Linked DNA regions of Sus scrofa. The protein of the gene in region 1 interacts with the protein of each later gene in a biochemical or structural test. Links are inferred from orthologs where the notes say so. Each region holds a gene or a part of one and is shown on either strand. Other genes may lie near its edges.

Evidence for each region.
Region 2: the proteins of STK26 (region 1) and CAB39 are reported together in a solved structure, tested with the Homo sapiens proteins (2 studies listed by IntAct, with this or other methods). The link is inferred for Sus scrofa from reciprocal best matches to the Homo sapiens genes STK26 and CAB39.

The regions. Positions count from the first base shown.
Region 1 is NC_010461.5:108,230,650-108,235,897, forward strand, and holds part of STK26 (serine/threonine-protein kinase 26), read left to right. Parts: intron 1-333; coding exon 334-442; intron 443-533; coding exon 534-691; intron 692-1,834; coding exon 1,835-2,020; intron 2,021-3,153; coding exon 3,154-3,302; intron 3,303-4,498; coding exon 4,499-4,592; intron 4,593-4,975; coding exon 4,976-5,038; intron 5,039-5,120; coding exon 5,121-5,248. UniProt on the Homo sapiens protein: Serine/threonine-protein kinase that acts as a mediator of cell growth. Modulates apoptosis. In association with STK24 negatively regulates Golgi reorientation in polarized cell migration upon RHO activation.
Region 2 is NC_010457.5:131,490,549-131,496,520, forward strand, and holds the start of CAB39 (calcium-binding protein 39), read left to right. Parts: upstream 1-2,026; 5' UTR 2,027-2,405; intron 2,406-3,171; exon of another isoform or gene 3,172-3,289; intron 3,290-5,972. UniProt on the Homo sapiens protein: Component of a complex that binds and activates STK11/LKB1. In the complex, required to stabilize the interaction between CAB39/MO25 (CAB39/MO25alpha or CAB39L/MO25beta) and STK11/LKB1.

The sequences.
Region 1 (5,248 bases):
GTCATTATTAAGCATATTTCTTAGATCTTTGATGTAAATATTTAAGAACCTCAGAATTTAGAGCGATTATACAGGTAATACTGCTTATATTAATCTTACATTACTCTTTCCAGATTAAATCTAATGATTGAAAACCCTTTTAGCCTTTTGATTTGACTTTTCTACTCCTTCCTCGCCTTAAAATTTTTGCTCATTTGTTTAAATATTGACTTAATAAAGAGAACTGCCTCATATATCTAAGCAATCCCCTTCTTTCAAAGATCACATCCAGTTTGAACTTTATTGTTCCAAACTTTGACATGTATATGTGTCTGTGTGTTTTTTCCCTCTAAGCTGCGAGCTGGTCCATTTGATGAGTTCCAGATTGCGACCATGCTAAAAGAAATTTTGAAAGGTCTGGACTACCTGCATTCAGAAAAGAAAATTCACCGAGACATAAAAGGTATACAGAAGCCTAATATGAACCTGAGGAAAAAAAAATAGATGCATTCTGAGGAAGCTGAGGTTCTTTTGGTTTCTTTTTTTCCTCCTAGCTGCCAATGTCTTGCTCTCAGAACAAGGAGATGTCAAACTTGCTGATTTTGGAGTTGCTGGCCAGCTGACAGATACACAAATTAAAAGAAACACCTTTGTGGGAACACCATTTTGGATGGCTCCTGAAGTTATTCAGCAGTCAGCTTATGACTCAAAAGTAAAGTGTTACCTGTCCAAACTGTTTGGTTTTTAATGATAAGTTTTATATAATGCACTATCCACTTTAACAAACTACCCTAACTCTCCTTCCTTTTAAAGTATTTCTAAAGCTAGATTCATGTCAGATGTTGCTGTTACATCATAACTTCCCTTGATGCTGGTAATATTTGGACCCTATTCCCTTCAATGGCCTTCCATCCTACTTGGAATAAAGTCCAGGGTCCTTACAATCACATACGTGGCCCCTGTACAATCTGGCCCTCACCTGCCTCTCCAGCCTCATCTCCTCTCACTGCCCTCTATTTTCCACCTGCTTCAGCCACAGCGGCCTCATTGCTGTTGCATAAACATGGCAAGTACCCTCTGGCCTCAGGACCTTTGCACTTGCCTTTTCCTCCACCTGGAATAACCTTCCCACCAGTTGGGTCTCTGCTTCAACATTACCTACCCAGAATAGTCTTGCCTAGCCATCCTGTGTAAATCTGCAGCCCCTCTGCCCCCTCATTTATTATTCCCTTATCCTGGCTTACTATTTTCTTCACAGAACTTAGCACCATCAGACATCCTATTATTAATTTATTTGTCTGTCTCTTCTACTAGAACATAAATAAGCCCCTTGAGAACAGGGGTTTTTGTCTGTTTAGCCACCACCTGAATCCTCGGTGCCTAGAATGCAATAACAGCACAAAGTAGGGAATTTGACTTTTTTTTAATAAATGAATTCTATGAATAAAAATTTAGTAACATCACATTTCTTGAGACATTTACTATTGTATGACCGTGCGCTTCCACAGACTCTTTTTTTTATTTTTTATTTTTTGGTCTTTTTGTCTTTCTAGGGCCACACCCGTGGCCTATGGAGGTTCCCAGGTTAGAGGTCGAATCGGAGCTGTAGCCGCTGGCCTACGCCCCAGCCACAGCAACGCCAGATCCAAGCCATGTCTGCGATCTACATCTCAGCTCACAGCAACACCGGATCCGTAACCCACTGGGCAAGGCCAGGGATTGAACCCACAACCTCATGGTTCCTAGTCGGATGCGCCAACCGCTGAGCCACGATGGGAACTCCTTCCACAGACTCTTTTGAGGCAATGTGTTGGAATGGAACTTCAGGGTAATGGTCTTTTCTTCCTTACCTTAGGCTGACATTTGGTCCCTGGGAATCACCGCTATTGAACTAGCCAAGGGAGAGCCACCGAACTCTGATATGCATCCAATGAGGGTTCTGTTTCTTATCCCAAAAAACAATCCTCCAACTCTTGTCGGAGACTTTACTAAATCCTTTAAGGAGTTTATTGATGCTTGCCTGAACAAAGATCCATCATTTGTGAGTATATATGCTACTACTACGGTTTTCTACGGTTAGATCCACATGGAGCCACTGTAGGTGGTTCAATGGTAAGGAGTACAGTACGTGTGAAAATTGTCTAAGATCCATCCACAAACCTGATTCCTCCCTCCATGTTGCTAATTCTGTTCCCTTCTTGACAAGATCCATAGTTCCTTCTCTCCTTTTCCTGTATCTTTTTCTCTTTTTTTGTGGTACCCAGCTTCTTCCTTATTCTGTTGATTATTTCCTGGCTTAGGGGGAAAGAAATGTGAGAAGTAAAGTTCATTTTCTAGGATGTTATTATTAAAGTATATGTATGATTATTCCCATTGATTTTTATTCAGCTGTGTGTTTGTTTTCCATGAAACGGTGTTTGCATTTCACGATTTTTTATTTAATGTTTGGAAATGCCAACATAAAGTTGTGTACTTTTCCTAAAGTCTAATGAGCTCTATTCATTTACTTGGCAAATTTGATTACAGTTGTTTTACTGTTTTTAAAATAAAGCTGCCTGATGACTTCTAGAATCTAGAAATATACAAATACTGTCTAAGTTCAAAGTAACTATTTTAAATTGCTAATGAATATTCTGGTACTGATAAAATACTAAAGGGGAAAATATCCCCCACAGCACCTGGTATTTCTATTTAGACACAACATGAATTAAGGTGTGATGGGAAAGGGATTAGTCTGGGGGTCGTAGGATGTGTGCAGATAATAACAAAGAAACAGCCTTGCTAGTTTTCATCCTTTTTTCCAATTTCCAGTAAATGTAACGAAAGTATTTTAAAGCACTATTTGGAAATACTTTAAAAGTTTTACTTGATTATCGAAATCCTGCCATGTGTTTCTCTGCTTTTAAGAAAGCCCTGCCTGCCCGTTTGCTGGTAGGTAGGCCACCTTTTGCCCATTCGGCTGTAACAAGTGGGCAGCAAAGTAGCGAATTTAATTTGGTTGCCTTGAGCCACTTCAGAAATAGAATTACCTAGTGTCCTATGACATTTTAGTTGTCTTCCTGTCTACAGACATGCTTTTATGCCTTTCAGCTTAATAACTGCAATGATTTCTTATCACTCCGTGCAATCATAGAGCCTAGAAATATTCACGCATCCTGCCTCTTTGTTCCTTAGCGTCCTACAGCTAAAGAACTTCTGAAACATAAATTCATCGTAAAAAATTCAAAGAAGACTTCTTATCTGACCGAGCTGATAGATCGATTTAAGAGATGGAAGGCAGAAGGACACAGTGATGATGAATCTGATTCTGAAGGCTCTGATTCGTACGTGCAAATTATTCAATTTTTATGTAGACAGCACATTTTAATATTACAACATCTTTTAACTACAATCCAATATGCTTTCCCAAGCATAAAATATAAACTCTGCTCTAGAGTTTGACTTTAGAAACTGGCCATCTTTTAAAATCACAACCTGTAGAGCACAATGAATTTGGAAACAGATTTTTTTCTTAGAAATGAATTGCTTTAGTTTTAAATGGTCTTGGTCTAACCCCTAGTGGATACTTAAGTATATTACAAAATTTTGGAACAAGATTCAATTTAAGGTGTTTTCTTAGTTTGCCCAAAGTGATACGGAGCTATGTCTTCTCATACTTTGGAGGCAACCTGCAAAATCCCTCTGGAGAACTAACTTTTCCCACTTTTCTTGGCCATGTACCAAAATGGTCAGATTGGTACATACTTATTTATATCTGATTTCTATCCCCTAAAATGTTGCATTGTTTTTTAGCTGCAGCAATTTACATTACCATTTTAGCCTCTAAGTCCATAACTTACTTAATTCAGCCTAAAAAGTCTGCCGGCTACACCAGCATTTATTCCTCCACTGGGTGAACTGATACCGAGGTAACACCAATTTTTTTTAGATAATACCTGCATTTATGAGAAATCTCCCAACTTTTGAAAAGGATAAAAAAAAAAAGATCAGGATAGGGGTTCCCACTGTGGCACAGAGGGATTGGGAACCTGGCACAGTGGGTTAAGCATCCGGCATTGCTAATACCCACGGCTCAAATCTGATACCTGGCCCAGGAAGTGTATGTGCTGTGCAATGGCTTAAAAAGAAAAAAAAAAAATGAGGATGGTTTTTTGTACCCTGTTCTACTCTCTGTTGCCTTAGCTGCCCATGACACTCACCCATGAAGCCTTAAAAAAAAAAAAAAACAAATCACTAAGCCACACTACAGGGGATCCTGATCCAGTCAGTGGGAAGGGGTGGGGGCCGGCCTTTATATTATGGAGTTAGAGGTCTTCACATGTGATTCTGGTACACACTTTAGAGTTGAGAACCACTGCTGCTGTCCCGTAGAAAGTAGTGTCGACTTGAAGCTGAAGATCAAATGATTTTTTAACACATCGGGACAGTTTTCCATTCAGAATCTGACAGCATTGACTTGGTATTTTCACCACCTATACCATTTAGGAACTTATGGAAGTATCTTTGGCCATCTCTTTAGGGAATCCACCACCAGGGAAAATAATACTCATCCCGAATGGAGCTTTACCACCGTGCGAAAGAAGCCTGATCCAAAGAAGCTACAGAACGGGGCAGTATGTATATCCAGATGTTCACCTCCTCTTGTTAGGACTAGATAGTGCGATTATGATGGCCAAACATTGTTAGAATCGAATACCCCTGAATGCCTGTCCGTTAGTTTTGAGCTAATTAAGAAATGATCAGAGAAGTCTTTTAAGTGGCCATTGGTATGTTTTAAAATGCATTTTCCCTAGAGATAGCTAAACCCGGTGGAAACAGGTCTATCAGTTGGAATCCTAGAAGTTAGAGGCCTCTGGATGATATAGATGGGAGTTATTGATGGGAAGAAAGCATGAAGACTTGCCTTACATTGGGTCTTTGGGGGGAGGGATGCAAATTAACACACATGAATGATTATTTTCATTTCATGTATATAATTTATAACATTTGTTCAAAGGAGCAAGATCTTGTGCAAACCCTGAGCTGTTTGTCTATGATAATCACACCTGCATTTGCTGAAGTAAGTACAGATTCATTAGCTTTGGAGATCTATTTGAAGAAGTATAGTAATTGTAAATGTTATAATTATTGATCTTTCTCAGCTTAAACAGCAGGATGAGAATAATGCTAGCAGGAATCAGGCAATTGAAGAACTAGAGAAAAGCATTGCCGTGGCCGAAGCTGCCTGTCCTGGCATCACAGATAAAATGGTGAAGAAATTAATTGAAAA
Region 2 (5,972 bases), on another chromosome or scaffold:
GCAAACTAAGGTGGCTCTAACAGCTTCATTCTCAAAAACTGAAATAAAGCAAAAAAAAAAAAAAAAATCTGTTTTGACTCCACATTTCCCTCCAGCTACCACCCCATTTCTCTGCTCCCCTTTACAGCAAAGCGTCAAGAAAAGTTGTTTACACTCATGGTCCCTCTTTCTACAGCCTCATTCTTCCTAGAGGCTACTCTGGTCAAGCTTTCCCACTCACCTCTGCTGAAATAGCTCTTACCAAGGCCACTAGTTGCCTCTATGGCACTGACACCAATGACCAATCACCAGTACTTACCTTCCTTGAACTATGAGCTGCTGTTGGAGGCATGGATCCATCTTCTATCACTCGTCTTCCAGCACATAAAGATCCTCCAGCCACCCTGGCTCCTCTCAGGATCCTTTGCTGGTCCCTTGTCATCAACCTGACTTTTCAATGTTGGGGGCCCTGGCTCATCCTTGCCTTGTCTTTTATCAACACTCTCTCCCTAAATGATCTCATTGAGTCCTGAGATCTTACTTACTCTGAAGACTCCCCCAACTCTATCTCCAGCCCAGACCTCTCCCCCAAACCCCAGACTTCCACAGTGAGCTTCCTACTTGGGTGTCTAACAGGCAGCTTAAGCTTAATATGCCTCCAAGTGTATTTCTGAGCAACTCCTGTATCTGTTTCTGTATGAGTCTTCTTCATTTCACCAAATTTTTATCTTCCAGTTGCTTGAGAAAACAAACAAACCAAAAAACCCCTCAGAGACCAGCAACATCAGGTCAGCTCTACCTTTTAAATGTGTCTAGAACCTGACCACTTCTTTAGGCTTCCACTGCTTTCATCCTGGGTCTTGCCAGTCTTCTTATCACCAGATTATTTCAGAAGACTTCTAACTGATGTCCTGGCTGAAGCCCTCAGGCCGCTCAGGCTGGTCTTCACACCGCAATCAGAGTTATCCTTTTGAAATATTAGACCACATCCTTTCTCTGCTCAAACCCCTCCAAACAGCTCCCCATCTCATTCAGAGTAAAAGCCAAAGTCCTCACTTTAGCCTATAGGGTCTCCCCTCTTCCCTCATCTCCATCCACTCCCCTTTCCCAGGGGTCATGTTTTGCTGCAAGGTATCCCACCTGAGGGGCTTTGTCCTGGCTGTTCCCTCTGCCTTTCCATACACATATCTCACAGCAGGAGCGCTGTAAACAGCAATAGCCTGCACTCTCTCCCCTCCTTAGCCCAATTTCCATAACACTGAAAAGCATCTAATGTCATACATATGTCTGTTTATTTATTTATTGTCTCAGGAGCAGGGTCTCTTTTGTTCACTGCTCCACTATCTAGAAGAGTGCCTGGCACACAGCAGATACTCAAGAACACCTGTTCGATTGCAAATTAAAGAAACAAAAATGTACACGTGTGGCATGTTCATGTACCAGAGTCTGTTGTCAGAGCTTTGCAATGCATTGTCTCGTTCATCCTCATAAACTTATGGTACTGTATGTACTCTTATATTTGTGCATGTGTGTGTGTGTGTGTGAGAGAGAGAGAGAGAGTGGAAGAACATAGGAATGGAGTCAGGCAATAGCCTATGGTGACTGAATGGTGGAGTTGAGGTTTAAATCCAGGCTTTGAATCCTATTAAGAGTGATCATTCTATCACTTTCTACGCTCTCTTGGAGGATGTTAAAATGAGAGTGATCCGTCTCTGGCAAGTATGAAGGAATCAATCTGCACAACTTGGTCCCTGGCCTTTAGCCGAAACGAAGCTTTGTTAAGAGTTCAGGAAGTGGTCGCACAAAGTGGATTTAGGATCCCTCTGGCAAGAGCGCTGAGGCAGAGAAGCGGCTGGGCACCAACACTTCAGTGGCAGGTGAAAGGAGAGGAACTCTTCCCCTCTGCTTCCGCTTTCCCCCAGCCGCCTCCGCCTCAGGCCTCAGCGCGGACTCCTACGCCCGAGTCCGCCCAGCCGCCTGGGGGCGCCCGAGGCTGAAGGGGGCGTTGCGGCGCCGCCCGACGTCGCGCCCTCGGCGGCTGCGCAGTGCGCACGTCAAAGCCGGGCTCGGGCCGGGAGCGGGGAGCGGCGCGGCCTGGGAGAGACTGAGCCTCCGGGAGCCGGGCGAAAGCGAGGGTGAAGGCGGCGCGGGGCCCCGCAGCAGAGCCGTAGCCGCAGCCCAAGAGAGCGAGCGAGCGCAGCAGTGCGGCGGCCGCCGCGGGAGCCCCTGGGCCGCCGTCCGCCCGCGCAGCCGCCGCCGCCGCCGCGGGATCCTGTCGCTGGGAGCAGGAGCGGGCGGAAGACAACGGAGGGGCCGAGCGGCCGAGCCGCGCCGCGGGGACCGAGCGAGCAGCCCGAGGCGTCGGCGGCCGAGGACGGGGACGGCGACGACGCGGAGGCTGAGAGGGAGCCGCCCGGCCCAGCTCCGTGAGTGACCCCCGGCCCGACCCAGCTCGCGGCGTGGACGCCCGCCCGGCTTCCGCCTGCCCTGCCCGGCCCGTCACCGGCCCGGGGCTGCCTCCATTTTCTCGGGTGGTGGAGGCGGCCCCGGCCCGGTATCGGCGGGAGCGGCCCGGTCTGCCCTCTCCGCCCGGCCCGGGCCCCTCGCGGAGCCTACCCCCCTCGTCGTCCTCGCCGGCTCGGCGCCCAGGGGCCTGCAGCCGGGGCTGCGGGGCGCCACGCTCTCCTGCAAGCCCTCCGCAGTTCTTTGGCGGGGCTGGCGGCATGGGGGCGTTCGCGGCCGGAGCCCCGAGGGCAGGCGAGTGCGGGCCGGGCCAACTGTCACTCCCGCCGCGCAAGGGATCCGGCCACCTTGCTCCTGGCCCCTGGTAAACTTCCTGTTATCGGGAGGCAGATAGCATCTCTGTGGTCTGCATTTCGGGAAGATGCCTAACTGTTTTCTGGTTAGGAATTGTGCGGCCAGAGCGTTCCCGAGGTCGGTTGAACCAGCCTGCTCGCTGACTGCCTGCAGGCGCTCTGGTCGGTCCGCGCCGGAGGGATTCGAAGGTGAACCCCGGCTCGCGGTCCCCTCCCCCGAGGAGCTTACATTCTGGCGTGGGTGATAAGGCGAGTACACAAATGACTACGATACCAGGAAGGAGATGATAAGTCCTATGAAAGAACTACAAAATGCTAGAAGGGTACCCGGAGAAGACCGGCCCGATCGATCACTTCCGCCTAGCAGAAATCTGAAGGCTTCCTGGGCGAGGCTGTGCAAAGTGGGGTCTTGAAGGCCAGATGGGATTTGGGAGAGAGGAGGGTTGCAGAAGAGGAGCAGTGTGTTGGAGGAGCAGCAACGCTAGAGGACAAAGGTAAAAAGGCATAGTCGGAAATAGTAGATAATGCAGTTTGTCGTGGGGGGCAGTGGGGGGTAGGCCAAAGAGTTGGGGGGCAGATCCTTGAATGCCGTAGAGGAGCTATTTGAGTGGCATTCTAAGGGTAACTTAGAGCTCATTTCTCAGTGACTCATGGGCCCGGAAATGTAAGCTAGGAGATGTTAAAGGCGCTCTTATGAAAGAAAGGAGAGAAGGAGGCCCAGTACAGAACTGACGTTCTGTGCCTTGAACGTCATGCAGTTTGAGATCGATTTTGACAGCTTTCCGGATATTCAAATAAATCCACGTCCAGGCTAAGCAAAATACCTTTTGTGCAAAGCTTCATTCGATGTTAGGCTCTTAAGAAGTGAGGGAAAGATGTATATAAAATAAGCTCATCTGCACGTAAGGTGTTTCTCTTGGTGCTCTTCACTAAAATGCATCAGAACTTCCAGCGCTCTGTATTAGGTGTCTGCATTTTGGAATTACTGAGCTGAACATCACTTCTTTGAGTTGGCTTTTGGGTAAGGCCATCTACGTTGATGGTTTAAAAAATCAGACTGTCCAACTTTGTATCCCAGAAGATTAGTAACATAGAACTTTTTTTAGGTAAAAATTTCTTTATTAGTTTTTAGTTGTGAAAATTCTTATAGGCGAGCCAGAGGTGAAAATCTGAGGCTTTACTTTGTTTCTTTTTTTTCACCCATATCACTAGCAAATAATTAGCAGCTGTATTTGAAGTTTAGAAATATGATCTATGGAAGCAGCTTAGAACCTTTTTGGTTTTGTAAGAACTTTGTTGTTTGCTCATATGACAAGTGAATGTCAACTTCTCTCAGGTGAAAAGGCTTGTAGAATGCAGGAAGTACATAGAATTTTAAAAAATTATCTTAGCTGTAATCTTACCACTTAGATTTTGTTACTGTTAACATTTTTTCGTATTTCCTTTTCAGTCTTCTTATGTTATTTTTCTCTTAATGAAGTCATCTATAAAGTATATATCTTCTATTAGGCTTTCCTTTTTTTGTCATTAAATATCTCCATATAAAAGGTTTTTAGGGGAGTTCCCTGGTGGTCTAGTGATTAGGATTGGGCACTTTCACCACTGCAGCCCAGGTTCAGTCCCTGGTCTGGGAACTGAGATCCCTCACCATGGCACTGCGGACCATGGCCAGAAATGAATACATAAATCTAAAAAATTTTAATGAATAAATAAAAATTTTTTTAACCAAGTGTAAGGGAAGCTTCTTAAGTGTATTTTTTTCTGACATGTTTGCATTATTTACCTCAGACAAAATGTAGTCATGTTTAATATCTACTGCTGTAGACGGCTTTCTCCAAGCTTTTTCTTGTTTGAAGTATATTTATTGACAGGATCAAGATTTGGATCCTGTTGCTTATTGAATAAAGAAAGATTTTATTACTTGGAGGTGTTGTCATCAGATATGGAAGAGGTCACATATGTGTGCTGTATGAGGGGATGTATTTTTTAAAAGGCACTATAGAAAGGTTGCTTTCATAGCTGCTGTATCTCCCATGCCTGGCGTACCTCCTCTTTGCACCCCACCCCTAAAAATAGTCTTTATACTGGGGCTGTCCATATAGGTTAACTACTGTGATCATGACATCACAGAGATTCAGGATAGATGTATTTAGTTTTTGTATTGGTCTTTCTTTAGTAAAATAGAGAATTTGTCATGAAGTAATGTGCTGCTGTAACAAAAGGGGCTTTTTTCTTTCAATCAATGCAGATCACTTTAGCGGGGTCTTATTTAAACCATTTTTTTCTTTGTGCTTTATAATCTGAAATGTATTAATGAGGTCTATGTTTCTGTTTCTCATGGCATCATATATATATATATATATGTATATGTATATAAAAAATGAGATGTTGAGTTAGACTGTATAAATTTTCATAAGGTTAATATAAAAGAATAGCTAAGAAAGCCCAGTTTAAGTATGGAGCTTGGTTTTATAATGTTATTATTTGATTTTTTTTTTTTTTTTTGCTATTTCTTGGGTCGCTCTTGCGGCATATGGAGGTTCCCAGGCTAGGGGACGAATCGGAGCTGTAGCCACCGGCCTACACCAGAGCCACAGCAACGCAGGATCCGAGCCGCGTCTGCAACCTACACCACAGCTCACGGCAACGCCGGATCATTAACCCACTGAGCAAGGGCAGGGACCGAACCTGCAACCTCATGGTTCCTAGTCGGATTCGTTAACCACTGCGCCACGACGGGAACTCCGATTTTTTATTCGTATATTGCAAATAGATATTCCACAAGGCATCCTTTATTACTTATGAATATTTAGTAAAGTTTTTCTTTTGATCAACTTTTGTAGGTTGTAGATTTCTATTATTACTGCCATATTTTACCAGAGCCTTTTTTTTCAGGAGGGGTTGATCATTCACAGTTGTGCCATCTGTCATAAAAATACTGACACAAACTCAAATGCCCCCCCCCATCCTACCTCCGCAAGCTAAAGTAAAATCCAATAAAGGGCAGAATTTTATTTTAGGTAGTGTCTTCTGGTTACCTTTCTGGTGGTATCTCTTTTTTAGAAATCAGTTTTCCTCTTTTCCATGGCTCCTTTTAATTAGGAATTTGATTTTATGGGTGTCTCCTGATGTTATAGAAATTGGACTCTGATAGGTGAATTAATATGGGTAATGATA